3 linked regions of the Oreochromis niloticus genome follow. The protein of the gene in region 1 purifies or fractionates together with the protein of each later gene. This does not show direct contact. Links are inferred from orthologs where the notes say so. Each region holds a gene or a part of one and is shown in the gene's direction. Other genes may lie near its edges. The genes, in order: kdm5a, gatad1 and PHD finger protein 12.

What was found.
Region 2: the proteins of kdm5a (region 1) and gatad1 purify together in Homo sapiens (affinity purification with mass spectrometry; 6 studies listed by BioGRID and IntAct, with this or other methods). This does not show direct contact. The link is inferred for Oreochromis niloticus from reciprocal best matches to the Homo sapiens genes KDM5A and GATAD1.
Region 3: the proteins of kdm5a (region 1) and PHD finger protein 12 purify together in Homo sapiens (affinity purification with mass spectrometry; 3 studies listed by BioGRID and IntAct, with this or other methods). This does not show direct contact. The link is inferred for Oreochromis niloticus from reciprocal best matches to the Homo sapiens genes KDM5A and PHF12.

What each region holds. Positions count from the first base shown.
Region 1 is NC_031981.2:6,308,321-6,319,153, reverse strand, and holds the start of kdm5a (lysine-specific demethylase 5A), read left to right. Parts: upstream 1-6,008; 5' UTR 6,009-7,035; coding exon 7,036-7,182; intron 7,183-7,617; coding exon 7,618-7,695; intron 7,696-9,533; coding exon 9,534-9,656; intron 9,657-9,897; coding exon 9,898-10,068; intron 10,069-10,336; coding exon 10,337-10,522; intron 10,523-10,833. UniProt on the Homo sapiens protein: Histone demethylase that specifically demethylates 'Lys-4' of histone H3, thereby playing a central role in histone code. Does not demethylate histone H3 'Lys-9', H3 'Lys-27', H3 'Lys-36', H3 'Lys-79' or H4 'Lys-20'.
Region 2 is NC_031985.2:21,143,223-21,153,747, forward strand, and holds gatad1 (GATA zinc finger domain-containing protein 1), read left to right. Parts: upstream 1-5,476; 5' UTR 5,477-5,764; coding exon 5,765-5,944; intron 5,945-6,793; coding exon 6,794-6,916; intron 6,917-6,998; coding exon 6,999-7,058; intron 7,059-7,188; coding exon 7,189-7,372; intron 7,373-7,459; coding exon 7,460-7,650; 3' UTR 7,651-8,299; downstream 8,300-10,525. Other genes in the region: chrac1 (chromatin accessibility complex protein 1), read right to left, coding at 2,000-2,082, 4,387-4,513, 4,639-4,797; protein naked cuticle homolog 2, read left to right, coding at 8,851-8,875, 8,980-9,006, 9,112-9,182. UniProt on the Homo sapiens protein: Component of some chromatin complex recruited to chromatin sites methylated 'Lys-4' of histone H3 (H3K4me), with a preference for trimethylated form (H3K4me3).
Region 3 is NC_031979.2:4,236,842-4,247,780, reverse strand, and holds the start of PHD finger protein 12, read left to right. Parts: upstream 1-6,357; 5' UTR 6,358-7,024; coding exon 7,025-7,090; intron 7,091-7,343; coding exon 7,344-7,525; intron 7,526-9,869; coding exon 9,870-9,942; intron 9,943-10,939.

The sequences.
Region 1 (10,833 bases):
TTATAGAGAAAATGTGTTTAGTTTTCGTTTATGTGTATGTGTCATACGTTAGTCTAGGGTGAGAATGAAGTGTATTTTCCAGGTTATGTTCTTGCTGTGCCTTATTATGCCAGCAGGTGGCAAGTACCTCAGTCGGGTCGTCTGTGTTGCCGCTCCGTCCACGCGTAGCATCATGTCAACAAAAGTCGGGAGAAAGCGTCAGAGTCCAATTTGGGATTACTTTGAATATGACTGTGTTTTGGATAAAGCAAGTGTCTTGTAGCGGAACGAGACAAATTATGAGGGACATTTCTAAAGGGAAAGAAATCCCACAAACCTTAAAGTGCACTTGAAAAGCTCACACAAGAAGGCTAACCTAGCTTACCTGGAGAAGGTAAGGGAGCACGCCCAACCCTCATCCCCAGAAACAGAAGCTAACCCCAGGCAAGGCAGCGTGATGCATCCCGAGACAACAGGACTGGGATATCTACATAACTGTGTGAGTCAATTGCCTTAACACCCGGTGCTGCAAGAGTTAACAGTCTCATTGGGGCCAAGATATACATTTTATAGTTGCCTGGTATCAACGGTTGTTCATCTGCCTTTATTTATTTATTTAAAGAACCCATAGGTGGGAATGTGAGTTGTCTGTCTCTGCATGTTAGCCCTGCGACAGACAGGCGACCTGTCCAGGGTGCAGGGTATGGTAGCTGGAATAGCAACATACCCAAGGATAAGCAGAAGAGCATGACTGATATGATGAAACTGGGATTTTGTTACACTTAATTATTGCAAACGCAACTAAAACTATAACTGAAACTAATCAAAACTAAACTGAAACTAAGGATTTTCAAAAAAATAAAAACTAAACTAAACTATCAAACAATTGGTAAAAACTAATTAAAACTAATATAAAATTGAAAATCTGAAGTCAAAACGAAATAAAAATAAAAACTAATGAAAATTGCAAAACTATTAAAACCCTGGCGATAACCATATCTAGAGATGTTTTTCTATTACATATGCTCCACCTAGGATGCTGTGTAATCTATTCTCTGCTATAAAATAAAGAATGGACTGAGGCTCTGCGCGACTTGCCTGTGTCTTGCCACGCAGTAAGCCTCTTCCATGTACATGCCATAACTTGAGTTTGTGTTTCTTGCTTCTCTAAGGTTTTTTCCTTTGACAATATTTCTCCTGTTTGTTATTTATTCCTGCTGTCTTACTATTAATATTTTAGTCCTGTAGCTGGTGTGGAATTAACTTTTTCATAAAATTATTTTAACCCTCTCTGGCGTTGATTTTAGTTTTTCACAGAAAAAACTTGTTTTCTATATGAATTAATAAGTTATCATTTTAGCAAACATCAAGTTGATGTCCATAGATGTACACACACTCACGCCATCATTTACATACACACATATTAGAAATGGTCTTTTACTTTGAAATCCAAAAGAAGTTGGCCTTGATATTGACAGGGTCTTACTAGAGTACAAGGGTGTGTCATTTGGATCTAAAGTGTGGAACAAGACTAAATGATATTTGTTATTATGTACTTAACATGTCTGTTAATGTTGAAGGTGAAATTCACTCAAAGTTGGTCTTTATTTTGAAATTAGGTTTCCACGTCTCTTGTCGTAGTACTCAGACTTGGAGAAGGGCTCATGAGCTTGGACAAAGAAATGTGGAGCAGAGCCACTTTGTGTCAAAAGGGAAAAGTTGAAGTGTTTCAGGCATCTTTTTGTTGGTTTTCCAGGTGCATCCAACTCTGAGGGAATTCAGGGAAAGAACTAGAAATCTGTGAAGAGATTATATTTCTCGGCGGACCAGGGAGCACCTTGGAACTTAAGTTCAACTTATGAACTTATAAGTCTGAAACAAACAAGTTCATGCTGTGATTGCTGAATTTCCCCATCGCCTGAGCGTCATGTGACTCGGTTACCTTGGGTCAGATGCTCGCGTTTCTGCACGGTGCTGAAAGGTTTGAGTTATAGACCTTTTCCACCTTCGTTCGGTTGGTTTCCCATGCGCGCGCTGCATGGTGCCTTGCTGTGAGCAGCACCTGTCCTGTATTACCTGCTGCTGTCACTCACCTCCACAGCTCACACCTGAGCCGCAGCTTCAGACCTGCTCTGCTTTAAAAGAAGCCAAACACAGAGAGCAACCCTAACCCTGACATGAAGTTCCAGAGTCCACTCATACTAACTAAATAAATGCTGGTAATTTAATGAAGTCATGAAGCAGGGAGAGCATGTTTGTAGAAGAACAGGTTATCCTCACTGTTTCCAAAGATTCAGATGAACGGAAGCTGATAAAAGTTAAACTAATGATATTGGTGACTTATTATTGATTTGATTTAGACTATGAGTTTGTTTTGTGCTTATGTCTGAAATTAGATTTTGATGGGAAACACTCATTGAACAGCTCACGGCTGATGTTGAAGTTCAGTCTTGAAACAAGATCATTTTAAAAGCACGTTCACTCCTTCACGTTAAACTGTGCAGAAAGCAGCTCAGTTTCAAACCTGGATCACATCGGGGTTGATGCAGTATTCCCAAATGTTAGAATGATGGAGTCACAACCACTGTTATAGGTAGAATCTGAGAACATTACAGAGCAACTTTTGTTGTAAAAATGTAAGAAAGACTAAGACATAATGATTTGATTGTTCTTCAATTTCATTTTCAAACCGAGATGTTAGTCAAGACAGACGTGAGGTGAGGCTGAAGGAGACATGGTATCAAATGAGAGGCTGTGTGGTTTCACTGTTCTGCTTTATTTTACAGCCCCCCCCCCCAAAATAAAAAAACCCCACACAGTCCAAATAAATGGCAGGAAAATAGCCCCACTAAGAAATCTCTACAAGCCACCTCTCAGTATAAGCTGCTGTAAAGAAGAGAGATGCTTTACACACATATCTGGAAACTGTCCATGTGGATAAATTAAGAATGTGAATAAAGAGAAGCTGTGTGGTTGAATAAAACTCATGCATCAGCCTGTTGCCTTCATCCTGCGGCAGTGCATTGAAGGCATCATTGGTGAGAGCGAAGAAGGTGAACACCACCTGCTGGTTCAGAAGCTCAGTCATACCTGCTCTCTGGATGGCATTGACCAGCATGCTGAAAACAGCAATAAATGATGTTAGATCGAATGGCAACTACACAACAACACACTAACACCTCTGTTTGCTTTCAGTCATTATGCTACACCAAACTAACAGCTTCATGATAATCTAGGCTAACAGATGACTCACTTTTTAGGAGCTTCAAACTACAAAAAAAAAACAAAAAAAGTTTCCCTGATCCTAGTTGGTGCAGTTGCTGCTCTGTGCCTCTGAAGTGCACTGTAGAGTCATTAAAGCTGCCAATAGTTGACAGGGAGTGTTTTTGCTGTACTTTTCCATCAGAGAAACATGATTCAGATGGTAAAGATCTTCACATGAAGCGGTCATCGGCCTTCAAGACATCCATGATGTTTCCCCATTGGTGGAGTGAGGACTTTGTCTACTGTGAACCTTGTCATGCGCAATGATACAGGTGTTCTCGATGCACAGGTTCTACAAAAAGAAAAAAAAAATTGTGTTTAAATACATTAAAATGGGCTTTGGTATCAGAAAAGATGAGTTCTAGTTATTATTATTATACAGTTTAGATACTACTGCTAGCATGTCAGAGTGTTTCTGAAATATTTGTTGATCTGATATTTGTTGTGGAAACCTGTGAACCTTCACATTGACTATATTGAGGTTGACCACGTTGATTTTGAAGGTATCCTTCTATTTATTATTATGTTGTTTAGCTTAAAAAACTGACCAACCAAAGCTTCTTCTCCATAATGTTTGTTGACCTGTTGAGGAAACCTGACCACAGGCCTGAGGGGAACCACAGACGAGTAAGAATTTTTTCATGCCAATGTCTCTAAGTGCTACTAGATTATTGTGTTAGTCTTTTCTTTACAATGTAAAGTTTTAAAAACAAACCTTAAAACATACTTCACATTAAAATGTAATAATTAGTTAGCCCACTCCCCACATGCACATAGCGCAGCACACTGCCTCCACACCTGCGGACAGACGACACTTTTTAATTGTTGGTCAAGACTAACCGCTTGTAAAAACGAAAAAAAGTCCTGACCAAACAGAGGTAAATACCTATGTTGTTAAGTTAGCTGATGATTTTTTGCCTGGAGTTGGTTAGTAAGTTGTTCGATTGCCAGTCTAGCCTCCTGTGAGGAAAAGCCAGAGGCTGCCAGTGATGTAGCCTACTGTCAGTTTCACAGATTTGAAACTTAAGTAGGTGTTTGCTACAATACAGTCACACATTTTGGCATCATTTACCTACCTGTCATCCCTCCTGCTTAAATCTGTCATTGACAGCAAGCTGGTGACTGGGCCATACTGTGCAGAGGGTTCGGCATGTGTGTTGAGAAAACCGCTACCAGAAAACTATAAAGCTAGCAATAAATCCTGGTTTTAAAGCCAGGAACTGATGCTATGAGGGGACGATACAGCCCACAGCAGCAACTGTGCCAGCCTAAGTAGTTCATCCTTCTTAAAATAAAAACACAATAAAATATTGTATTAAGTCAAATACAGTCACCTCAGCCACTTTTACCAACAGATAAAATCAAACTCTAATTCTAAAACTTAGATTTTTACGTAGCTTTTGGTTCAGAAGATGACGTAACACTCCGTATGCTATGTAAAGTGCATCCTACTGCAGCTGTTATTTATTTAGTAGTTTAGAATTGACATGGATCATGTTATGTTATAATATTTGGATTCTTATGTACTTGAGACAGCCTTCACTTCTTTATATTTTACTTCTGATGAGCCAGAGTTTCTTGTAATTTAATTTAAAGTGGCCTTGAACAATAGTTCTCCAGGCTTTCAAAGTTTTCCTCTGACATGGGCTGTTTTTCACACATATACAATCCACTTCTTAAACCTGACCATTTTCAGGGGAGCACATAAAAGGACCATCAGATTTTGATCAACCATGCAATAGCATCTGGAATGAAGCCAAATGATAACGGTTTTATTTTTCAACATGACAGTGTTGAAAAATAATGGATGGATGGATAGATGGATAGATAGAAAAACACACACTGTAACTGCAGAGCCCACACCTCAACATTATTGAAACAGGATCATCTGAACAGAGAACAAAACAAAAGGCAGCCAACATCCGAAGCTTTGGATTGTTCTTCAAGAAGCCCGGAGAACTATTCCTGAGCACTAGAGATTAGAATAAAGATTGCATAAGAGAGTTCAGCCTGTGTAGAAGTATAATGGTGGTCAAACCAAATATCAACTTTCAAATTCATAAGAATTATACAAACTCTGTTTTTGCCATGCATACTTTTATAAACTGTTGCACCTTATTCACTTAGCACAATATAAAGTCATGAGGGGTGGCTCAGGATTTACACAGTTACTGTATTCTAGTAAATTATGCTGTATTAGAAATTAACCTGTCTCGGCCTATGTAAACTAGTGGCAGATATGTTCAACTTCAGCAACAAAGTGTCTAACACAATAAAGAGACATGCTCATTTACAGACATTTGGATTGTTGATATCAACTAGGTGCACAATTAAAAATAATCATTCTTTATCTTTTGCTGAGCTTTTATACACCCAGTTTACCCACGGCTTGAATTAAGCTGCCTTCCAACTAAATTTCTTCTGACACGTTGCATGTATAAACAAAATATGTGATCAACAGGCGTATGGGGCTGCTGATAGCCTGAGTGTGTGCCACATTAAGGAGATCCCCTCTAACTGACATCTGCTCGAAGATACATTACTGACACTGCCAACCGCATTCGTACTGCTGATTGTGACAGCAATCAATCCAGCAGATTTTTGCAACTAATATGAATTTATTAGCGCTTGTTACGAAACATATTTTCTTCACGCTTACATCAAAGTTAGATGAAAAAACAGCAATGAATTCAAAAGTAGTGAAACTTTTTCCGAGTGTCCATGAAAGCACCATAAGAGCTCTTCCCTTTCCTTGCTAGTTGTAGCTAGCACGTTTGCTAATCCGACTACAATAGGTATAGACGACGTTTAAATATACAGAAAGCTGCCTCCGGTAAAACAAAGCAAAGAGAGTATTGCTTTTGTATATGCGATTTCATTTAACCTGCTTAAACCATGGAGGACCGTTCTTCTCAGCCGACTGTGCCAGCTAACGCCAATGTTAGCTGCGCAACGGGAAGCGGTAGCTAAGCTTCTTTTAGCTTACCAAATTAGCTGTGTGCTAGTTCTCCGTTGCCTCAAATGCTTCAATGAATGGGGGCTGATGTGCGGAGAGAAGGAAACAGTCAACAGTGTACGCTTGGTACTAGGCTTATCCGTGTTGTTTTCAAGCTTGACTGGTGCCACAGGAGTAGGAGAACGAAGAGGCTGGTGTTTATTTTGGACGACATCGACGAGTTCACTAGCGTGATTACGTTAGCTAGTGAACATTACAGCTAACCTTAGATAAGTTTGTTGGAAATGCATCCTCACGAAAAAAATAATCATGCACTGCCCAGGTAGTGCAGAAGCGATGCTAGCTTCTTTAACATAATAGACGGAGTGTTTTTGTGTGTTGGGTATTGTGAAACTTCTTTTCCAACTCGCCTGCGGCCAAGTCTTCACCGCAGATTTTTTTTTCCTCCTGAAGCTTTGGTTTGAGATGAGCAATGGTGGCGTTTTTGGACTGACCCTGCCCTCCGTCCCAGGTAGGGGGAGAATTTGGTGGCGATACCCCGGCCTGGTTTGGCCCTCTGTTTACGGATACAGGAGTGACATGCATCATTGACTCGGTTCTTGTTGTATTTTCTGCCTTCACTTTTCACACCACATTAGGTTTCGCCCCTGGGATGCTCCTGTCACTGACGTGATTTGTTATTTGGGGAGATTGGAAGAATCACGATGGACACTAAAGAAGAAGAAGGAAGAAACAATTGCAGCTAACACAATTATGGACTCCTGAGGCTCAACTTTGCGCACTTTTATCCCTGATTTAATTTTTTTTAAAGACTGTGTCACTGGAAGGACGCCGATATGTCTGCGTTTGCGGAGTTCGTGCCCCCTCCTGAATGCCCGGTGTTTGAGCCGAGTTGGGAGGATTTCTCGGATCCTTTGGGATTCATCAACAAGATCCGACCTATTGCAGAGAAGACGGGCATCTGCAAAATCCGACCCCCTCAGGTATTTTTTTATAACACTGAAAGTCTGCAGAGGTTTTTGGTTTGTTGTCTCTTTGTGATCCTGGGCTGGCTTACTTTGGGCCTGCGTGGATTTTACGAAACGCAGCGACGCTACTAGTTGCCATTAGTCTAAATAGAGGTCAAACGAGGCTCAGTTTCTTTTCAGTTTTTAATTAAACATTTGTGACACTGATTTCCGTTTGTTGTTCAGAAAAATTGTGGGCGAAAGTGCGAAGAAAATGTAGCTGTTTTCCTCACTCCCACCTGGTGTTTTGGTTTTAAAGTGGAACGATGGTAGACATTGGGCCTAATGGCGTCCACATACAACAGATACATTTAGATTTTAATTTTAAGCTAGTCACGTGTTGTCACAATGATTTCCTCATTGCTCAGGTTGTTTTGGTGAATGTAATATTTCTTTTCTGTTGTCAATCAGGACTGGCAGCCTCCGTTTGCCTGTGATGTACGCAACTTCCGGTTCACTCCTCGGGTGCAAAGGCTGAATGAACTTGAGGTGAGTTTGCCACAAATGAATGAATAGATAAAATAACTCCAGTCATTGTTTATAATGAGACTGAAGCCATTATTGTTACTGCTTTAGCTGTGTGTATGATAGATAATTAAGATTCAAGATCCTTTATTTGTAAAATGCATAGTTATGAGTACAACACGCAGTGGAAAGTGTCCTGACACCCTTGACTGTGCAAAAAGAGAGAAAATTATATACATTAAGTGAATTACACAAAAGACCACATTATATGCATTAAGTATCATTATATGCAGTAAGTAAGTGAATTATGTACATTAAGTTAATTAAATAAAATAAAACAATCTGGAAATGTTTAAATTGAAAATCTAAAAATGTGCATTCAATTCAATTCAATTCAGTTCAATCTTTATTGGCAGACTTCATGTCCATAAAAACAAGACAGAAACACACACACAACCCCCCCCCCCCCCCCCCCCCCCAAACACAAGGTATAAACCTTAAATATATATATACATATATATACATATACACACACACACACACATATACACACATACACATGCATATGTGCGAGCGTGCACACATACACATATATATATATATATATATATATATATATATATATATATATATATATATATACACATATATACATATATACATATAAAGCATTAGTAAAAATATAAAACCATAATATACATAAAACACAATTACTTAAAAGAAATCAATAAATACACAAACACTTCAACCAGTGCTTTCTCAGACTGGATGAGTAACGGGAACCACTCACTGTCGGATCTCTAAGTGCTAAAATTATGCTGTTACTCGAACCATCCAGTCGTTCTCTAAAATTGAACATTAACTTTCTTAAAAGTGCTTTAAAAGTGCATTGTTTGAGTGGGTGTTAAAGTGTTAAAGTCAGTTATGGATGCTGTGGGTGGGGAGTGGGCGGCATGTTCTGGTTTAGGACACGGATGGCCTGGGGATAGAAGCTTATCTTGAATCTCTCTGTTCTTGCCCGGATGGTGCGGAACCTTCTGCCTGATGAAACAGTTGGTTGGGACAGGTCCTTCAATATCTGAGCTTCTCTAAACCAACATCTCCTGGTGTAGATGTCCTGTAGAGAGGGGAGAGCAGTCGTGCAGCAGCGTTCTGCTGTATGGATCACTCTCTGAAGAGCTTTTTGATCCTTAACACAGCTGTTCCCATACCAGGATGCAATGTTCTGTTTGAGGATGCTCTCCACAGCGCCTGCATAGAAAGTCCTGAGGCTCACTGGAGAGACCCCGAACTTCCTCAGTTGTTGTAGGTGGTACAGGCACTATGTAGCCTTTTTGGACTGGACCTGAATGGGGGCAGACCATGTCGGGTCTGAGGAGATGTGGACACCAAGAAAGAAAAGTCTCACTCAGGGGGAAAAAACACTGCAGTTTTTATTTTGACTATGAAAAGGTTATTAAATCAAAACAAAAAGCTGCATTATTATTTTTTTCAGTTTAGTTTTAATTGTGTCCAACATTTGATGTCATGGATGCCCTTTCTTAAAGTCAATTTTTGGATATGTGTCGTTTCAGTTCAGGGCACCAGGACAGCTGCAAAGTTGTTTTTTTTTATATATTAGAAATGCACAGATGATCATTACCAGACTGCATTCCCTATTTTTCACTGATCTCAAACAGTATTTATGTATGATAGTTAGCCAAATAGATCTGGTGTCTGGACATACTGTTTTTTTTGTTTTGTGTGTGTGTGTCCCATGAAAATTTCTTGGTTTTCCTGGTACCAAAATGTGGAAACAAAATGAATACCAGCCTCTGATTTTTCTAATCTGTCCTTTTGCTCTTTCTCTGCTGCTTTTCCAGGCGCTCACTCGCATAAAGCTCAATTTTCTGGATCAAATCGCAAAGTTTTGGGAGCTGCAAGGATCTAAGATTCGATTCCCTCATGTGGAGAGGAAACTCTTGGACCTCTACCAGCTCAGCAAGGTGGAACCAGTCAGCATGGATGTTTTTTTTTTGTTTTGTTTGTTTGTTTGTTTGTTTGTTGTTTGTTCAGATTTTTGTTTTTTTAGCCTAAAAATGGATTTTTAGTGAATTTTTGTAAATAAGGATCCTTTGGCAGCACAAAAAATGTTTTTTTTACCTTATGATGTTAAAAAATATTTTGGATGATTAGATAGATAAAGTGGTAAGAGCTAAAAAAATGTTTTCCTTGTGTGCATTAAAGATTGTGTCATCCGAGGGCGGCTTTGAGACGGTGTGTAAAGAAAAATTATGGTCCAAGGTGGCCAGCCGAATGGGCTACCCTCCTGGAAAAGGCACCGGGTCTCTTCTACGTTCTCACTATGAGAGGATCCTTTACCCCTATGAGCTCTTCCAGACTGGAGCCACACTAACTGTGAGTGGTGCTGAATGCTGTTTAACTGCATTTTATATCATAATTGGGAGGAAAACTACAGCTAATGCGTTTTAGACCATCATAAGTAGATTCTGAGGTTTCTTGTCTAAATTGCATGTATATGTATTGTACTTAAGGAAGTTTCTCCCAAAACACTTCATACTGTATATAAATGTCCTATTACTAATAGCTTGTAATAACCTTTGGGCCAAATAACATCCTGGTTTTCTTTGGTAACCTATTCAGTGATCATTTTGCCTCTGATTAGGGCCTCCAAAGGTTGTATGATGAGGGAAATGATGGGGATGAGGTAGATGAGGGAGTTGGCGAGGAGGCTGTAGAGGAAGAGGAGCACGATGAGGAGGATGAGAAGAATAAAGATGGAGAAGGTGATGGATTGCAAACCAAAGAGCGGCTACTGCCAGAGAGACGATCCAGGCGCCTGAAGTCCGAGGTAAAGTGAAGCTGCTCAGACATTAACTCGGAGTTGAATTTGAATTTGAATACGCTGACCTAAAATTAAAAATGCCATGAGCTCTTGGTTATCTTTTGTCTACTAATGCGTTCCATTGAGTGTAACATTTGATAACATTGTTGCAAGTGGGTCATGAAGTTATCATTTGTAGCAGAACAATTAGTCCCCCCAAATAAAAGTTGAAAAAAGTGCTTGACACGTTAACTTTTGGGATTCCCTCTGCACATCCAGATTTCTAACTGTGTCAGGAATGCCCCCCCCTCGAGGATGTCTTAACATTTAGCAGGATC
Region 2 (10,525 bases), on another chromosome or scaffold:
AACATTGTATAAAAAATAACTAAGCACACTCTTATTGCTTCCATAGGAATGAATAGGAATAGTAACAGCAGGTGTGAGAACCTCTATAAAAGCAGACGTTTATGGTGGTCTGAAGAGTTCAAGTGCATGTTTACACAATGCCAAGGAGGTAATACATCAGCAACAGAAGCGACTGCTGCTGCCAATTATTCTGGGAAGGGCTATAAGGTCATTTTCAAAAAATCTGAATACCATCACTCTTCAGTAAGAAAGATTATTCACAAATGGAAAACGTTCAAGACAGTTGCCAGACGTTCCAGGAGTGGACGTCCCAGTGAATTCGCTCCAAAGTCAGGCCGTGCAGTTCTCAGAGAAACTGCAAAAAACCCAAGAGCTTCATCTCACACTCCAGGCCTCAGTCAGCATGTTAAACATTTAAGTTCATGACAGTACAATTAGACAAAGCCTGAACATGTGTGGCGTTTATTGGAAGGTTTGCCAGGAAAAACCCCTTTCTTTCTAAAAAGAAAATGGCAGCATGCCTTAGGTTTGCATAACGTCTGAAACGATATCTTTGGACAGGCAAGACCAAAGTGGAGCTATTTGGGAATTTGGACTCTGGAACACTTGGGGGAAAAAGCAGAATGAAGAATCAAGGTGCTGCAGAGGCACAAAGTTTGAACCTCAACATGACTGAAATGCTGTGACAGCTGTGCATAAAAGAGTCTTTGCAAACTTCATTGAACTGAAGCGATGTTATAAAGAACAGTGGGTCAAAATTCCTCCTCACTGATATGACACACAGAAAACGATTAGTTCCTGCTAAACGTGGTTCTACAAGCTGCTAAATCATGGGGTGCACTTTTGTTTTATGTACTTCTTTCTCTTTAAAATACACTGCCTATGTATTCTGGTTAAGCTTTTGTTAAAGAAAAAATGACCCAGTATAATAGGTCAAATAAAAATCGTAAAAGAGGGCATTTTTTCTTCTTACCATGGCTCTATATTACCTGCATGCAAAGCTATGAAGATGTCATGGTCACATTAAACCTCTAAACTGCAGGAAACACGAGGAGCTCAGAGGAGAGTAAGCGAGTGGTTTAACACAGCAAATTCATAAACTGCAGTATTACAAAAAATGTAAAAAACATTCAGAGCAAAATGAGACAGCATGAATTTTTATTTAAATATCAAATCTAAACCACACATTTGTAAATACACAGATGGCGGTACGCCGTCTAAGCTGAAACACTTTAAATATTTACATCTGTTAGAGTCTGAGATTTTATTTTGAACTTCAGAGCATGTTCAGTTGTTTTGTAGTTTTTCAGTTCTAGTAAATTTCAAGTTCTCTACAGTCAAATCAAAACACGAATATATGGTTAACAGTAGCAACAGCACATCTGAGTTTGAGATCAATGTTTCACAGCACCTCTAAAATAAAGTTTTCACTCACTTTTATTTTTTTTAAGCCAACAGTAACACAGGAGCTAAGACATCTGCGCTCCAGCTGTGTGGGCTGGATTTCCATGTCTCAGCTACTCACGTGGAACAAGTCCGTACTGGCCCGTTATGCAGAAACATTTCTGATAACGGTGCACGTAAATCAAGCAGCCCAATTAAGTCAGTGCTACCCGGGAACCTCCATAAACAGTCTAAGTACACAAGCTGATATGCAAACTTGTTCTGAACTCCTGTTTGCATCATATATTAGTAATAACAGTACTTTAGCTCACACAAAATATATCTGTCAGTTTGCAGAAAAGGATCGCTGAACTTCATTTACTGTTGGGGGGGGGGGGGGGGGGGGGGTTGAAATTTGAGTCTTCACTTGATTTCACATTGACCCCGTGTGGGTTTGCTTTTAGTTCCATGTCCTCTAACTTCTTACAAAAGCCCTGAAGATGAACTTGAGAGTTCAAGTGTCTTTTACTGACGGTCACTTTGCTTTCGGCGACAGGCTGGACGAGTAGATGTGATAACATCTGTCCAGATGGAAAATGTGGACCATCCACCTGTTTCAGTAATCAGCTCCTTCTTCTTCTTGCATTTGCTCCAAAGAGTTGAGGTAATCTTGAGCCAAGATCTTCTTAGGCAGAATATCTGTCCAGGAAAACAAAGCAAAAAATTTTTTTAAATGCATAGTTGAAGGAAAAGATCTCATTTTTTGTTGCTGGTCAGTGAGTGATATTAACACAAGAGTATTAGGAAGACTCAGATGGTTTTAACTTGGCTGTCAAAGAGTCGACACACTGCACAGCTGCACTAAAATTTACTTTCACATTAATGTTTAAGCTTCTGTATATTTAAAATGCATCTGATATTTCACTTTTTATAGATTATAACAAACTGTTTACAAAATGTTTTTACAGAAAAGCCATTTTTAAAACCTTGACATCATCATATGTCCAGAAGACACATGCTGAGCACAAGTGGCTCCGCGGTGTAGTGTTTAACATGTTCGCCTTACAAAGCCTCGACAGAAGGGGACACAATCTGGTGTACACCTAGTCTCTGCCCCCAGCCTGGATAAATGGCTAGAAGGAAAGCATCAGGAAGGGCAGCCAGTGTAATTCTGTGCCAAATCAAACATGCACGCTCTGGTGACCTCTCCCAAAACAACTGAGCAGCCAGAAGTACCGCAGATATCACAGGCAAAACGAGCAGCAACATGCCCGAGCATTTCCACCTTAAACCCCCTGAATCGCTGGATTCAGACAGCCCGGCGTTCAAAAGTAACAAAGCAGTGAGTGAGTGTGAGCTGTTTGGATACAGACCCAAGAACACCACAGGAGATAAAATGAAGTTATGAGAGAGATAAAACTCTTATTGATGGTGTTTAAGGGTTAAAGCAGTGCCTGAGAGACTTAAAAACAGTGCTACTTTAAATAATCCTTAAAGTAAAGCTGGCTAAACTAACTCATCCTTTCTTGAAGGTTACAACTTTTGATTTTTGTTAAAACTGTTAAAATGAGTTTTAGTTTTATGGAGATTTTAGAGCCTTTTTGTTTATACTACATCATACCAAGCAGCGTTTCTAATACTTATTCTTTTCTTAATCAGTTAATTTAATTATTTTTTTTATTAATCGATTAATTTGGTCTTCTTGTGTTCAGCTGGTGGAGGTACTGTCAGCTGCTCCCTTATTTCCTAAGGGATAACCAGAGCGGATTGATCTGCGTGTTTGATTTGGTACAAATGTTTTATCAGATGCCGTTCCTGATGTACCCCTCCTGCTTATGCTTAATTTATGGAATCATGTCCGTTTGTTGTTGTATTTGACCACAGAGATGCTACAGGCAGGGGCTGTCAACCAATGCTCGCTTTGCAAGGGTCACATGTTAACAGGCAGGCCAGGAGCGGGAGAAGCATGAGGAGAAAAAACATCAAAGATCAGAAATACAGAATAAAAAGCACAGACAATGTCTGGAGTGGACACTTTTGATTGCTTTTAACACTCAGTTTCTCTTTGGGTTTTTGTATGTTATAACTTCACTCTTTTCCACAGTCAGCTGACGGACCATCAACAGCACAAGAAAGACCCACAGACCGGTTACATGACATGTTTTTGATGCATCTGACAGCAGATGCTCTCTGCAGGTAGACAGTTAGTTTGAAGCTGCCAGTGGACTGCAAATATGCTACCGCAGCTCAACCAGATTTTGCCCTTTAGACTTCTGCGATGATTTTTTTGTAGAGCCTACAGGGTAATGTACTTAAGTGGCTGACGCTGTTACCAGTCTTGATGCTTTTGTGGTGTTTTGTGTGTTTATTACTTGAGGGTGGTGTCCCAGTGTTTTATATGCAGTACCAGCTATGACAGAAACAAATAAAATGCTATTTTTTCTCCTTTTTGTTGTGGTCAGTTATTTTCTGTTTTTGTTTTTGTTTTTGGAAACAAACATATTTGTCCCTTACAGTGGACCTGAGAGGTGCAGCTAGAAGTGCACAAAACACAACAAAAGCAATTTAGGGGAGACAATAATGTGATGGAACAGCTGTTACATTTCTAGGGTTGCGTTTCTATGATGTAGATTTGAAACAGAAGCATAAATCCCTTGAAACTGCAAACACACGACCACAACTGAACCACAGTTTCCCCATTTATCTACACTTGCTGATGCTGGGTTATGTTACCACATTAAACGCTCTAATAATCCAAAGTCTGATCAGTTATCATTACAGTAGTTCTTAGACTGTGGGTGAGGCCACTGCAGGTAGGTTCAGACATCGTGTGAAACAGGAAATTAATCGATTATTCGGACGTTGTGTGAGTCAGTGCGTAGAGCAACGGCAGGAGTATTAATTCACTGTTCCTAACAATCTGGACTCTGTGCAGTCTGAGGTATGATCTGTAACCAGCTGGTGCATCATAGGGCCGCTGAGGTGCCTGCAGGTGCTTCTTACCTGTGAGAAAATGGAAAGTCTCTGTCTCCTGAGCAGTGTTGGCCAGGTCGCTGTACGACAGGCTGTTTGTTTCCTTCCCTGAGCCGTTGTTGAAGGAGGATAGAGCCAGGTGTTGTACAAACAGCTCCTAAAACAACAACAAAACAACAGGAGACAGACACAAACGCGCTGCTTCAGCTCACATGCCCTAGACAAGCTAACGGTGCTAAACGTGTTAGCAAATGAATGAGCTGCGGATGAGGTTTAGCTTACTGTAGCTTTGGTGGTGAGGAAAAGAGCGTCCTGGTTGATACTGGAGACATCAGGGGAGCTCTTCATGATCAGCCTCACCCTGGATATCGGCAGAGAGATCGGCTTTTTGCTGCCTGACGCTTGGTCGTCTTTGCCTGAGCTGTTTTGAGACATCTTCATAAGAGCAGGGCGCGAGACAAGCGGAACTTCCAAGTATTGTTTTGAACTGTGACGCGGTTTGTTTCTTCTTCGTCTGACCAGATTAAAACCGTCTGGCGGACTCAACGCTGTAACATCGCCTCCTGCCGGAGAGGCTGGTTTTTACAAGCTGACACACACACACACACACACACACACACACACACACACACACACATATATAAAAACACTTTAATTAAAATATTTATCTTTTATCTTTGTACACGGGTGGATGAATGAATGGAAATTTGTTGTAACTTTGTTACAGCAGGATAATGAATAAAAATAGTACAACTTACAATAAATAAACAGCAGTGTCACAGGCGCATAGTGAGGGCATTATACATCAAAATTTACATATACAACAATGATTTCAAAAAAGTAAAAGAAAAATTAAGTTAGTAAAAAGTGGAACGGTAAGACTCATTTTGTGCAAGCGGGCAAATTAATAAATAATTTGTACATTATGCATCTGAGAAAAACAGCTAAACATATTACCTACTCATTGTGTTGTTTTAACCAATCGTAATTTATCACTACCACAACACGATTGGTTTAAATTAATCAACATTTTCACACTCTCACAAGCTCACTTGCCTCTTTAAACGTTGTGTCCTCCAGTCCAGTGGCGTCGCGTGATTTAGTCCTGTACCTAAATCTAAACCAAAGAAGAAGAACTGATGGCAGGCGCCAGCGCAGAAGAAGAATGGTGCCGCTAGTAGTGGCTATAAATGGGCTACAGATATAAACAATCCAGGTTTCTGATCAATTTGGCTGTTCTCGCAAGTAACTCAGAGCCATACCTGTTTGTTTAAAGTCGAAGTGCCACAGAAGGAAGATTTCAGCCTCCCTGTCGGAGTCACAGCCACACAAACGGAGCATCTTCATCCTATCAGTGAGTTCTGTGTCGTTTCTTCGCCCACCGGCGTCGTTTTAAGAAGCGGCCACGATGCCGCTGGGTTTGAAACCATGTTGCGCCGTTTGCAAGACTAATTCTTCCTCGATGTGGAAGAAAGGAAACCAGGGAGAGATCCTGTGTAACAGCTGCACGGGAAAGAGCGCCAGCGGCGGGGCGTCAGGACCCTCCCTGTCCTCCATCACTCAGCCCAGCAATGGCGGAGGGAAACAGGTCAGTGAAACCCAGTGTTTCTAGATTAGAGCCAGGCCTGTTTGTGATGGTGTAAAGCCTCATGAGTTTGTCTTCAGGCGCGGTTCTTGCTCTGTTTTAGACTGCTGGAGCTGTGTGCAGACATTGCAGCTGCATCATTCACAGATAATCCTACAGGGAAAATATAATGGCGCTCCCGGAGACCACACTCAGCTGAAATAGGAAGGTTTTCTATTTCAGTTTAAATACTCAGGATCACTGTCTGTGGGAATTTTTTCTAAAGTTATTAGAAGAGCACAGGTCTCATTTCGAGACTGTAGTCTTCACTGTTCATGTGTAAAACAGTTTAGCAGTTTAACAGAAACAAGCCGGTGTGACTCCAGGAGTTTTAAATGTGGTGTTGCAGATTTGATCATAATAATTGGCTGAGAAAGCACTGGGCACAACTTTCAGGCTCTTGTGCAGCAGCCTGTGCCCAAATACAGATGGGAGAACATAAAAAGTGATGCTTCAAATGAAAGTCATTTTTGTTCTACAAAGTGAAAGTATTTAAATCTTTAAATGAGAGGCGAAACATCTCAACAAACCCCCAAGATCATTTAACCCTTATTTTTAAGTAAAATTGGTAATGTAGCAGTCTGTTATCAAGTGAAATCCAACTTAAAGGGTAAAACTATATGCCTTAAACATTACATAGCTTCACATTTTACTGAAATATTTTTCATATTAAGTGATTAATCAGTTAACTAACAAACAAACTGGTAGTTGTTAGTACTGGTCTTAGTATTGTCTCATTGCTTATTTTTCTTCATCTTCTTCAACTGACAAGCTGCAGTCAATTGTCCGATCCCTTCTTGTGTTTGTCTATAGTCCAAGCAGGAGATCCACAGAAGGTCTGCACGTCTGAGAAGCACCAAGTACAAAGCTCCTGCATCGGAGAAAAAAGTCTCAACCAAAGGAAAAGGACGACGACACATATTTAAACTCAAAAATGTAAGTTTGATCATGTAAATTAGATTTTTCTTCTTTCTTTTCGAGTTCATGCGTTTGACCCTTGTGTGTGCCAACCTTTCAGCCAATCAAAGCACCAGAATCCGTAGCGACTATCATCACGTCAGAATCCATATTTTATAAGGTACGGTGTTTATTGTTGCCAGGCATGAGAAACAATACTTTCACTTAAAATTGCTCTGATCTTTTCAAAGCATTAATTATATCACTGCTTTAATAAACCTTAATCCTTTATCACTGTCAATATATCACAGGGTGTATACTACCAGATAGGAGACGTGATTAAGGTAACGGATGAAGAAGACGGGAAGCCTTACTACGCTCAGATTCGAGGCTTTGTGCAGGATCAGTACTGTGAAAAAAGTGCAGCACTGACGTGGCTCATCCCCACTCAAGCCAGCCCAAAGGACCAGTTCGATCCTGGCACTTATATTGTTGGTGAGCAGTTATTCTGGATCATGCAGTGCTCTAATGGAATTTGTTCATTTAAGCTTTAAAAAAACAAACAAACATGTTTTGCAATAGGTCCAGAGGAGGATCTGCCAAGAAAGATGGAGTATTTGGAGTTTGTGTGCCACGCCCCCTCTGAGTACTTCAAGTCTCGGAGCACCCCATTCCCTACTATCCCAATACGACCAGAAAAAGGCTATATCTGGACCCACATAGGACCCACACCGGCCCACACTGTCAAAGAGTCTGTCAGTGCCAGCAGTTAGTGGGACTGTGATTAAAGACATGGACTCTGTTTTTAAAGAAATAAATGTACATTCTCATCATGCTAGTGCAGGGTCTGCAGTTGCCGGCACATCAGCAGAGTATCTGCAGTGGTAGATGTTGCAGTCAGTGGAGGTTTAAATGTAAATAAAGTTTAAATGTAATAAACGCTGATATCTGGGAGGACTGTGTCATCTGTGAGGATACAGGACGGTCTGAAATGTGACATTTGTTTTTAGTGACGCCTAGCAACAGGAGCGACGGGGTCTTTCAATGACTAGTAACAGGAAGAAGCATCACAAATGAGACACCCCCCGAATTACATCAAACTTGGCACTGCCTCAGTCCATACACCCGCCAAGTTTGAAGGGGAAGAGACGAAAAATGCATACAGAGATTCCTTCATTTATTAAGGAGATAATGATTTTGGAGTTTTCTGCTCATTAATTCACATTTCAAGGCGAGTTGTAAGTTGATGGTAAGGATGTGTCTTATTGCTTTGTGAACAAGTTATTCACAAGCTGTGATGCTGAAACATATGGAAACTTGTTTACACCACTTTTTTTTTTTTTTCCCAGTGGCAGAAACAAGTTTCCATAGAAATGTTACTTTTGTATTTGATAATAAACAAAAAGCTCTTTTCCATCACTACTGTTGCCTGTGATTTGTCTTTTGTTCCTTAAAAAAATGATACAAATAAATGTTTAAAAAAAAAAACATTAACAGAGAGATCTGATTGTTTTTTGTTTTAGCATCCTGATTAAACAAATGTCACGTTTGATTTATGTCAAAATGTTAGAGACTGGTGGTGTCTAAAGACTGGAATGAACCCACTTGTGTCAGTGAAGCTCTGACCGTGAACGTCTCATTGAAAAGTCTTTAAGTCGGTGGTTTGTGTCCGTTTCTCAGTCGGATGCTGTCCAGAGTTGTTTAAACGCGCACACAATAAAAACAGTTACTTTGATTTACAGACGTAAGGTTGGGTCGCGTGTATCACAGATCTCTAACCAATCAAACCGAATTTAACCGAAGCAGGAAGTGCGCGGCAGTCATCCCTCTCTCTGCCTGTGCACTCTTGGATAAACGTCTCGGTGAAACTTTGGAGTAGTCGGTGAAATTCCCAGTCCGCGAAAACTCTTCCTCATGTCTTGAGTTATTTTTCCTTTCTGGGCTGGACATGGTGAACATTTCTTGATCACAGTATGGGCAAATTCCAGTCCAAACACGGTGAGAAGTTACATCTAGTTAGCTTCTTTTTTTATTATTATTAGAAATGAAATACTTGAAATGTCTTATCACTAGCGCTCATTGTCATCTCATTATTTGGGCAGCTTCGAAGCCCAGGCAGAGTCCAGAAGGTAAGACAGAAAAGACACATGCTGTCATAGCTCATTTGTACATGGATTTATTAATATTTTTTCTTTTCTTTTAAAAAAATAAATGGTTGCTTTTATCCTCTACAGGACGGAGTTTGGCTTCCAGTGTGCTGAGAGAGTCGCAGAGTAGCCACATATGCAGAAGAAAGCTGACAGAGGTAATGAGTTTTGTAATTGTTCTTATATTAATAACCAATTCTAAAAAAGCTAACCTATAACTCGCTCACCTCAGGTACGTTTCCTGTATCACTGCGCTGATCTGGTGCTGACAGAAAAGAGGTTAGACCTGAAGCTGGTGCAGTTATGCCCGGGTACTATTCAGCTCCGGAAACCAGCCAGGTTTTACTAGTAATTTCGGTAATAATGTAGGGCCCAAAAAGCAAAATCACATTTTGTGTAAGCTGCTTTCAACAAATAAATAAATGCACATGAGGCAACATTAAAGCCAAATACATGTGTTCTTATGGTGCAGGAAAAAACCGCACTGCCTCTTTAAACGCCTTTAACACAGCGTCCAGGGCTTCATTTCAGTCGTGCCAGCTTGGGGACAAACTGCTCACATCTATCCAGGAGACATAAAAGATGTTTGGAAGGTGGTCGTTTATTTATTTCTCCACCCTTCCTCCTCCATCTCTATAAAGAGACTTCCAAGTCTGTGAAGTTCAGCACACCCACCCCCCTCCAGACAGCGAGGTCTTTATGCCCAACTTCACTGAGGGGGAAAAAGAGAAAAAAGAAAAAAAAAATCCACATCTGGGACTGCTTTCCTGCCCCAGCCAGACGGGTGAGGGTGTGAGGTGGGGTGTTTGGGGCTGGAGTGGGTGAAGTGTGGCTGTTGCATTGCATAAATGGCATCAAGTGTAATAATGTTTTTTTTAATTTGTTGCTTCTTAGCCCACCTGATTAAAAACACTGATTTCATCTGTCTTACACGCTTTAAGGACAGAAAATTCACTGATCCAGCTTTTCAAGTGTTTGATCTCTTGATATCTTTGGGTATAACTTGTTATTTTAAGGCCAATAAAGTCTGGAGCTCAGGACAATATTTGCACAGGGCTGCTGTAAGAAAAAAAAGTTCTGGAAAGTTCTGCAGTTTGGAAAAAGATGTTGACTCTGCCAAGATGTTTAAAGGGCTGTGGTGGAGGTTCTGCGCTCGGAGCACTTCCTGCGATTACATTTTCCAACCTAATGTAGTTTTATTCCCCATGACACCACTGCTGTGAAGTGGTAATGTCAAAAACATCTCTTTTTCTAAAAGATGACTCCGTTTTTTGCATCGTTGTTAGAAAGATGTTTCCGTGTCACAGTTTTCGCAGAGGTGACAGATTAAAGACGGTTTTTAGAAGCTGGAACGATTTTGTAGAGATAACTAAACAATGAAGTCTTTTATGTGCAACGTTCGATGTATCCAGTGAGGGGGAAAAGCGCCGTGGGTAAAAATTTAAACCACGCAGACTCATTAGATGAATGTTTACATACCTGTCAAGTACCACTGACGCAG
Region 3 (10,939 bases), on another chromosome or scaffold:
CATGTTCTGTGTGCAGAACATGGCTGCGGGGTCAACAGGCAGCCTCTTTAGACATTCCTGGTTGTCCCACTGGAGCTGTGACTGAAACAGTCAGAGATGCTGCCGCACCACCCAGATGAGGCCAAGGCACTACTTGTGGTGATGACCTGCTCTTTCATGCATGCTAGAGGACTTTCTGCAGGCGATGGACCACCTGTACAAAGCAGCCGGGGCATCAAACTGCCTGCACACCAGGTCCTTAAAATCAGGCAGCAGTAGCACCTGCAGCTGAGAGCACCGTGGCTGTGTGATGTCTTCAAACCTGGAGGCCACTGCCACAGGGTTCTCAGGGAAGGCAATATCCAGAGCCCTGGATGCCCTGCCCATCATCTCAAAAATTTGGCAATATGAAACAGTCTATGCAAGATTGTGGAGCTTCCCTGGCCAGCATAGCATGTTGGTAGCCCAAACACAGCATACATCTACCATTTCCGTGCTACAGAGACATAGAGATGCCGTGTCCCACACATTTATCACCCATATGAACTGCCATACTCACATGGGATGGATGCAGCCGTAACCCGCAAACCAGAAGACAGTACACACAAACACATACTCTGGTTTCCCCTGTCTCAACGGGTAAGCCCCCAGCTGGAGCTCAAATAATTGCCGGTTTCATGTCTGCACAGTTCTTTTATGCCTAATGTGGCAGTAGTATGCAGACAGGTCCTGGAGTATGAAGGAATTAATGCCACTGACTGGTCCCTGCGTCGGCCTGACTTAAATTCAGTAGAACTCTGGGATGTTATGTTTTGGTCCATCTGACACCACAAGGTTGCACTTCACATTTGTATACAAACTACCAAGTACCACTTTGAGTTGCAACAGAGAAATTTCAGCAAATTATTCTGGCAAATCATTTTTTTCAGCCCTCTATAGGTCTTTTTTTCATCCTTTCAGTCCTAACATATTACCCAGTCCATAGTATAGATCATCAGCACAATTACCCAGTTAGTGTAGGTTTTTGTTTGCTGTGCTGCTGGAAGAGGCCACTAGTGTGCCACAAAACTTACAAAAAAACAGGCTGTACTAAAGCCTGACTATTCTTGCAATGATTGTAGCCTTGCTGCTTAATGGTCATTCATCACAGTTACATTATTTCATCCCGCAGTCCGAAAACATGCATGTTATACTAGTTATCCATCCCTTATTTATTCCATAATTCGGTCCAACATCTTTGTACTCTGCACCAGAAAGAAAGAAATATAAATAAATAATAAATAAATAAATACATTATTATTGTCATGTTGTCTGTCATGTTGTCATGTTGATATCTTGTTGTCAGTATTGTCTGTCAATAGCAAAGAAATAGTCAGAACCCATTTTTTTTTATGTGTACACATACTTGGTCAATAAAGCTGATTCTGATGTAAATGGTTGTCTTCCTCTGTTAGCCCTGAGACACACTGGTGACTTGTCCAGGATTATACCCTACAACAGTGGGCAGATGGATGGGTTGATGGGTGGATCTGATTATTTATGTGCATGTAAACACCCACACTGGCTGACACACAGAGCATAGTTGGTGCAATGGAGCAGGAGATTACTTTATCAGTCTAGTTCCGAGGCTTTGCTCAGTGTGCATATCTCTGATTACTTTAGCAATTTAGGACATTTAGGTATCTTGCACATGGACCTTTCCACAGCTGGAGAAACAACCTAGCAAATTATCCTTTTGTAGGAGGAATTAAGAATAGAGAGGCATTTACCAGTTCTAGCAGCAAAAAATAATAAGTGTCACACCAATCCCCAAAAGCCTGGATGAGCCTGACCAAGAGTCCGAATTCTTGGTATTATCAGCTGACTGAAACTTGGACCATAGATAAAATATAAAACATGCATGTAGCCATAACTCATGTTTACTAAGCTCAAACAACTAGGGAGCCCAGGGCTGTTTTCCCATAGAAAATCTGGAGTCTTTTTCCAGCCACAGGGGTTGCTCTCTCCTGGCCTTTTAAAAAAAAAGAGAAAGCAGATTTCAGGTATTTCCACTTTGGCTTCTCTTTTCAAACCTGGAAAAGTAAAGTATCTTCTCCAAGTATAAAAAATATGTTTTGATTTTCATTTAAATATATTACATTCCTTAAGGAATCACAACCCTATATATAGGGGCGATTGTGGCTCAAGAGTTGGGAGTTCGCCTTGTAATTGGAAGGTTGCCGGTTCGAGCCCCGGCTCGGACAGTCTCGGTCGTTGTGTCCTTGGGCAAGACACTTCACCCGTTGCCTACTGGTGGTGGTCAGAGGGCCCGGTGGCGCGAGTGTCCGGCAGCCTCGCCTCTGTCAGTGCGCCCCAGGGTGGTTGTGGCTACAACGTAGCTTGCCATCACCAGTGTGTGAATGTGTGGGTGAATGACTGGATATGTAAAGCGCTTTGGGGTCCTTAGGGACCATAAAAGCGCTATATAAATACAGGCCATTTACCATATAGAGAGAGGAAAATATATGTGTGCAATTTTTTTTAAACCCTTAGAAATTCTCTTACTCTAATACTGTTAAAATACAATACTCTCAAAAATATCTTAAAATAAACACAGTAATTTAGTGATTTAGCACAACAGGATACATTTATCACAATATAATACTTCATAATTACAACCTTACAAGTCTCCTTCATCAGAAAAATGACTTAAAGTCAGCAACTAAATATTTTTTAAGGGCTTTTACAAATGTGATCAAAATATGTAGATTTTAAAAAAGACTCAGCTTTAAAAAATATTAACTGAAAATTCATTTTGTAAAAAAGATTTTTCATTTTCAACATTCTTGTACTACATATTAATGTACATATTAACATATGCACTAAAATGTTCAATAAACTGTAACCTGGTGAGTGGTCATGCTGGACATGTGTATAACATGTGATGGCTAGTAACATTACTGGAACACGGGACTACATTTCTAAAATGCAATGTCATATATCTCTGTGCACAAAATCACATTAGCTAACTACCAGTATTTTGCCAGCTACTCAAATACAACTGAGCAGTGCCTCCCTCTGCTGGCGAGGGTTAGCAATTACCCATCATTCATGGTAATTCTGTCCACTATACATTAAAATTGCAAACATTTCCCCTCTCCAAGGCAACCATTTTTAGGTTTTAGAATCAGCCCCATTAAAAAAACAGCCAATATGGGTAATGAACCACACAACTGAAGAAAACAAAAAAGGAAATCAAGAATTAGAAAAAAAACAGGTATCAAAAGTACAAGTTTAGGATAAAGGACTAATTAGAACTTTGTCTCAATTAGCACATCCATTGTTGCTACAAATCCCAAGAGACAAGACAGTGTGCAGGTCTGTTACAGTGCTAACACAAAGAGATGGGCAACACAACCAGTCGCACTAACATTTACACCTATCAATCTACCTATTTTACATATACCCATATTTATATACACACACACACGGTGCTAGGTTAAGTGATTCTAAATTGCTCAGACACTTCTCCACAAGGTACGTTGACTCAAGTATTTTACAATTTTGAGCTACTTTTTCTGCAACAATCTCTCCACATGTTTCAGAGGTAAATATTGCCATTGTATTCTGCTCCATTTCTTTTCTCACAGCTTTATTTATTTCCTACAGTGCACTTAATGAACAAGTGCTGTTTTACTGGTTATGAACATACAATTTTTCCAATTTTCTTAAGATATATATATATAAAAAAAGCCCTTCTTAGATTTGCTAGAAAATGTCAAAGAGTTGAAGGCAAAAGTATGAGCTTACTGAACTTTTTAAATATATATGATTCTTAGAGCAGAATAATGCTACATTACCATATAGAATATGATGCATAGCTCTAGAGTAAACAATCTAAGTTAAATATAATGCAACATGCACATTAATTTTGCAGTAATATCAATTTAAATACATTAGATATGAAAAGAAACATTTTTCTGCACAATGAGTACTAACATGCAATTTTCTGATAACTGCCCAGTGTCACCGGGTATTGGCAAGATATGCACAACATAGAGTGCCACCTTCATCATTCCTGTTCAACTTGTGCATCTCAGGCTTTCGGTACAACTCTGGGTCAAAGAACTACTCTGACAGTTCTACGGTGATTGGATGTATATGTGATGGACAGGAGCAGGAGGATGATTTTGTGGAGTCGTCTGGAAGAAATCATCTCTGAGTAAGACCAGAGATCATCAACTACAGAAGGAAGAAAACAACTACAGCCTGTGCCTATCCAGGATTTTAATGTGGTGGAGAAGTACAAGTACCTGGGTGCCCACACTGACAACACGGTGAAGTAGAAGACCAACAATTAGCTAGCCAGTTTTAATGTTCTTCTTTTGTTGTTGCTTTTGTTTTGAAAGGAAAATTCTAAAGAAGCCAATTGAGGTGGTTTGGGCATCTGACTAGGATGCCTCCTGGACACTTCCTATAGGTGAGGTATTCTGGGCAGTGGACTCAGTGGAGAGATCACACATCTCTGCAGGCCTGGAATGTCTCAGTATTCCCCGGATGAGGGGAGACACCCCGGATGGAAGAAGTGGTTGTTGTGAGGAAAATCTGGGCTTCTCTGCTTAGACTGCTGCTCTTGCAACATGAACCTGAATAAACAGCAGAAAATTAATGAATGAATGGACATTTTTACTAATTAAAGTTATACTTATTTTACTTTATTGTGCCTAATTTTATTTTCGACTAGTTATTATTGCTGTTAATTGTTAAGATTTTATTAAGCTGGACACCACTCTACTTATTTAAGTTATTTAGGTTTGTTTGATTTAAGTCAAACATCAACTACTGTAACACAAGAATTTCCCAGTTCTGGGATAAATGATCTAAATCTATCTTTACCTTAATATCTAAATACTTCTATTTTACTGAGACTTAAATGCAGGACCTTTACTTGCTGTGGATGTGGTGATCATGCGCCTACTTTAAGTGGGCCTGCACAGCATTTTTATTCCTTGTCTACCAGTCCCATGTATTGATGCAATGCCCCACATTTTAATGTGCTCTAGTTTGCAATAGAGAACACCAAGATGAAAAAGTGTGGCTCAAAACTGATGTGCTATAAGTGCTCTGCAAGAGCAGAAAAGTGCTGCATAGCAATCAGTCCATTTACCAAGAATCAGTCCATGTGCTGACCTATGGATTAATTGCTATTAAAACTGAAACAGACAGTTTGGCTGCTAAAGTATATTTAAACAGTTTTAATACTTAATACTTTAATACTTAATATGATAGACATGGTTCCACAAAAAAAGAGATCATACCTTCTATTTTAAGTTTGGAAATTTTCATTCACATAAATGGCAGTATATTTGTCCTTCACATAACTGATGCCAAACTGTTAACTAGCATTGTTTTTTGTTTCCAGATTTAGTTTTCATCACCTCTCAGCATTAGTAAGGTGTCACACACACATATTGTTTACCCTACATTTGGTGTTTCGAGATCTGGTCAGACTCTATAGTTGGTGTGATCTGGTTAACAAAAACCCGATAAACCTGCTATAAATACAAATTGTATTTAAGTGAGAAATTACATTATTTATGTGCTAGATGGAAAATACGGGAATTAGGGCTTCATAAATTCTTAAATAAATCTTTGGTTTAAGAGAATATAGAGGTGGATTATTGATTTGTTAATGTTTTGGATGTCTTTGTTTTCTAGTGATCTGTGCATTACTTCAGCGTTTCACTTTGCACAGTCTGGTCCTCTCTTAATTAAAGAATGTGTTTCAGACTTCAGCAGACTAATCCAGTGAGGACTTTGACTGCAAAATAGACAATGCCCTCTGTCAGAAAAGTCTGATTGGTAGAAGGATAACTAAGCGCTTTGATGACAGTGACAGCTGGTGTGATTTGGTGCTATATAATTAAAACTAAATTGATCTGAATTGAACATTTCTGTTAGAATAACTGACTTGCCGTCATCCAGCTGGGATAGGCTCCAGCCACCCCGCGATAAGGATAAGCGGAAGAGAATGGATGGATGGACTTGCTGTCTACATAGACTACATGTTGAAATAGACTACATGTTGAGCAAGCGGAAGAAGAATTAAGATGGTAATTTGAGCAGCTGAAACGCTATTGTAGCAGAAGTGCAAATTGCATGAGTAGTGTTCATAAACAAACAATAAAGCAATTGAAGCAAGGAGCAGTTAATGCTACTCGCGGTAGCAGCACAAGTACGTGTGCACAATAGTAATGAGTAGTGCTATAAGGTAATCTACAGGGAAAGTCATAGCAAAAAAAATAACTTCAAAACGTCAGTTCCAGTCAAAAACACCGTGTAGATAATGTTTTACCGGTTCGTTATAGTGTATCCGAAATTATCTATATCCGTTCCAATACGCATGCGTGTCCGGTGTGCGCGGTTGCGCCAACTGTAAGGATGTTGCTAGCAGCCAGTATAGATGCACAGCCTTTTCACAACAATAACATCAACCAAATTTGCATTTCCACATACTTGATTTGAGGATTATACATTCCGGACGCTGTCGGAAACCAGGTTTTGGGCCGTACTACACCTAGTTTTCTCCTGGATTGTTTGGTTACATTTTGTTTTGACAATGGGAGCGGGGGGCTTTGCAGATTTACAGCGCTCCTTTTTGCAGGAGCAGAAACAAGAATCATGGCTGGCCAGCTAGGCCGCAGATGGATTGTGTAGCTAAGAGCAGTAGTCTACTGTTAGAAAATTCTGTATGTTTTCGTGGCACTTACACATAAAAAGTGGTGCTAAGGAATCAGTATTTTAACTACATAGTTAGACGTCATTTTTGTTACCTTTTTATGGCCAACTACGGCAGCTAGTGAGACCGCTAGCTTCACAACCTTGACTGGTTGACGTTTGCCTAGCTAGCTCCTTTGGGCAGCTAACGATAGCTAACGTCGATTTACCAGACATCCTCTCACCGAAATCATTCGGGAAGTAATTTCTTACAGGATTTATCGTGGTTATTGTGAGCACCGAGGCACTTGGTTCGCAAATTCCTTTTGCAAAGTCTGTTTCTGGATGAATGTGGGACAAAATGGAGACCCCAACGATTGTGTACGATTTGGATACCTCTGGGGGCTTAATGGAGGTAAGGCTGCTATGTCTAAGGCCTTAATTAAGCGAAACATTCCTCTGTTGCTAGCACTTTAATATATTTTACCAAATTTGAATCGCAGCTGTCATCATCACTATAGCCCGCTGTCAAGCGCTTAGCTAGCTAATTCGGCTTGGTAACGGAGGCCACAAATTACTGTTACCGCTCTCTATAAACGTCACAGCGGACACTAGACAAGCAAAGGACAGCCGCGATGTCGCACTAAACAGCTGAACAACTTTTTCAGCAAATTCAAACACTGCTGGCGCCCCCGAAGTCAGAAGAGGTAGAGAAACGGAGTCGGAAACTGGTGAGGGACGTCCGGAGGAGCGGCAGGGCGACTAACCACGACACCTGCGATAGTTGCAGGGAAGGGGGAGACTTGCTGTGTTGTGACCACTGTCCTGCAGCTTTCCATCTCCAGTGCTGGTAAGTTATTTGACTAAAAAACACGTAGAGAATTGATGAAACAAGCGGAAACAACTAAGAGTCCCCGTCAGTTATATGTGTAAGATGGCTGAATGCTAACTCAAGTGATTGTCCTCGGTTACCGTTTCTCGGTGGTTCCGATTCCCGTAGACACATGATTTGAAATGTGTAAAGAAATAATCTGTTAAATGATTTCATTTTGCCTCATAGTTTTTTCGCTACAAAAGCTCACGCTTATATCAATGAAAAGTCAACTTTAACCATCAATTGTTCTTCCGAAATTCCCGCTGTGTTCTCCGTTCACGTTAACCATGGAGGCCGGCTTGAAGCCGCTGTGTTGCCCTCTGTAAGGTTTATTATTAACTCCCATTTTCCCTGGAAACTGCTTGCATGTCGAATTTACTTGCAGACGTTTTCAGAATCTCAGGAAATAAAGCAGTTGAAGTTAATTAAAAGACGTTTGGTGATCTAAGATAGCAACTGATAATTTAAGTAACAGACCAGAATGTTTTCTTGCTCTGGGAGGACTGTGCACCGTTATACCAGTCGTCTATCTTATATACTGACTTTTGGACTTTATAGAGTTTGAAAGTGTATAGCAAACTTATTTTCACGCGTCGCTAATGAAATTATAACATACAGGAGTTAAAATAAATGCTTAAATATGTCGTGTCTGCAAGAGGCTAGAATTAGCTTGCAGTCGGTCCTCCCCTCCTGCCGAGGCTGCAACCAGCGGAGCTGCTGGTAAAAATGTAGCCTCTGTTTACAATATGGCGACCTCGCTGCTCTTTCCCCCCTTCTTCCACCGCCATCTTACAAACCTTTAAAATCAACTCTGATGGAAAAGGGGTGCATTAATAATACGGACGAAATATTCCGCAGTTTTTTTGGACGGGTATAACAGCGTTTGTTGAGGTATTTTCGGTGCCACAGCGATAAATAAATACCCGTCTCATTTTTTCTGTATTACTACTTTTACAGACTGTCACCTGAAAACCGTATAAAACCCGTCTGTACATATATAGCCAAACGTGTGGACGCCTTCAGATTTTGAATATGTATTCATGAATTTTGCTGCTCTAATGTCTATAATGTAAAAGACAGTGTTACATGGCGTGACAGTTCAGTTGTCCCATGCACAGTGCATCTCACATGTGACCACTTCAAACACAAAAGCATCATTAAAAAAACTTTTTTCATTTTTTTAAATCTGTGGAGAAATTTATTATTGTTGTCATTTTACTGGATATGTATTGTATGTCTTAAGTCCAGTTAATTTTAATGTTAAATTCTGCAATTATGAATTCATATACCAGATGCATCAGGGGGAAAAAAGAAGTTTAAAGTTGACTAGAAACTATAGAAACAAACAGCCAATAGAAATGAATAAATTGTTAAAATAGACAAATAATAATGAATCAAAAGAAAAAGTAGTTAAATACGCTTACTACAAGCAAACTAATGGTATGCATCCATCCAGCCATTCTCTTCCACTTATCCTCGTCAGGGTCGCTAGGGGAGCTGAAGCCTATGACAGCTACCATAGGGCGAGAGGCAGAGTACACCCTGGACAGTTGGCCAGTCTGTCGCACGGCGAACACGTAGAGACGAACAACCATTCACACTCAAATTCACACCTATGGGCAATTTAGAATCATCAATTTACCCAACCTTGCTAACTGCATGTCTTTGGACTGTGGGAGGAAGACGGAGTACCCAGAGAGAACCCACGCGAACATGGGGAGAACATGCAAACTCCACACAGAAAGGCCTGGCCAGGTGGTAGAATCAAACTAAGGATCTCCTTGCTGTGAGGCAACGGTGCTAATCACTGCACCACCATGGTTAAAAATGCAAGTTAAAAAGAAAGGAGTAACAAAGCATAATGGATAGATGGTTCAGTTTGGTCACTAAGTGTAATTTTATGAATAACTGTTAAACGAATGGTGGTTGTAAGTAGCAGATGAGTGATGGAAATACCAAGGTAACAGTTAACCAGACATAATTTTAAAAAATGATAAGGTGAAATGAGGTGGATCTGACGAAGTCTTCTTGAATGTGGGCAGTATGTAGTGTAAAACATTGGGAACAATTGATTATTAATGAATGTGTCAGCTACTGTAATGAAAGTATAACATTGAAAACTGCCATTATTTTGCACTGTATGGATGTTTTTATTGTAATGCAGCCATTGGCCCACCAGATGGAGACAGAAGAAACTAGACTTTTGTTTTGATGCCAAAACAATGGGATCAAATCAGTTTTTCATTTGAATGAAATGGGAATTAGAAATTATGATTCATTTTCTGTTATTAAATATTTAATTTCTGTCTTCTTACGACAGCAACCCACCTCTGAGTGAAGAAATGCTTCCTCCAGGGGAATGGATGTGTCATCGCTGCAATGTTCGGAAGAAGGTGAGTGACAGATGTTCTGTTACACATTTGATTCATTCTGCTTTTGAAATGTATCCCGAAGAGTGTGTTCTATGTACTGATAAATTGGACCAATTCAATTTTATTTATACAGCGCCAAATCACAATAATATTTTACCCTACAATAATACATACAGAGAAAAACTCAACAATCATTTGACCCCCTATCAGCAAGCACTTTGGCAACAGTGGGAAGGAAAAACTCCCTTTTAACAGGAAGAAACCTCCAGCACAACAAGGCTGAGGGAGGGGTGGCCATCTGCCGCGACACATAGTGAGTGAGAAAGGTGACTGAAGAAAAAATACTACCCCAGCAGTCTACACCTATTGCAGCATAACTAAGGGAGTATTGAGGGTCAACTGATCCAGCCCTAACTATATGCTTTTACATATGCTGTATGTGAGGAGCAGGATTTTGAATTCAATTCTGGATTTAACAGGGAGCCAATGGAGGGAAGCCAATATAGGAGAAATCTGCTCTCTCTTTCTTGTCCCTGTCAGTACTCTTGCTGCAGTATTTTGGATTAATTGAAGGCTTTTCAGGGAGTTTTTGGACAATCCCGATAATAATGAATTACAATAGTCCAGCCTAGAAGTAATAAATGCATGAAGTAGTTTATCAGCGCCACTCTGAGACAGGATATTTCTTATTTTAGAAATATTACGCAAAGATTAGAATTGGACGAAGTCAGTCCTAGATATTTGTTTAATATGTGCATTGAAGGTCCTGGTCAAAAATGACTCCAGGGTTCCTCACAGTGTTACTGGAGGCCAAGGTAATGCCATCCAGAGTAAGAATCTGCTTAGATACCATATTTCTAAGATTTTCAGAGCCAAGTACAATAACCTCAGTTTGATCTGAATTTAGAAGCAGAAAGTTAGCGGCCATCCAGGTCTTTATGTCTTTAAGACATTCCTGCAGTTTAACTAATTGGTGTGTGTGTTATCTGGCTTTCTGAATAAATAAAGTTGGGTGTCC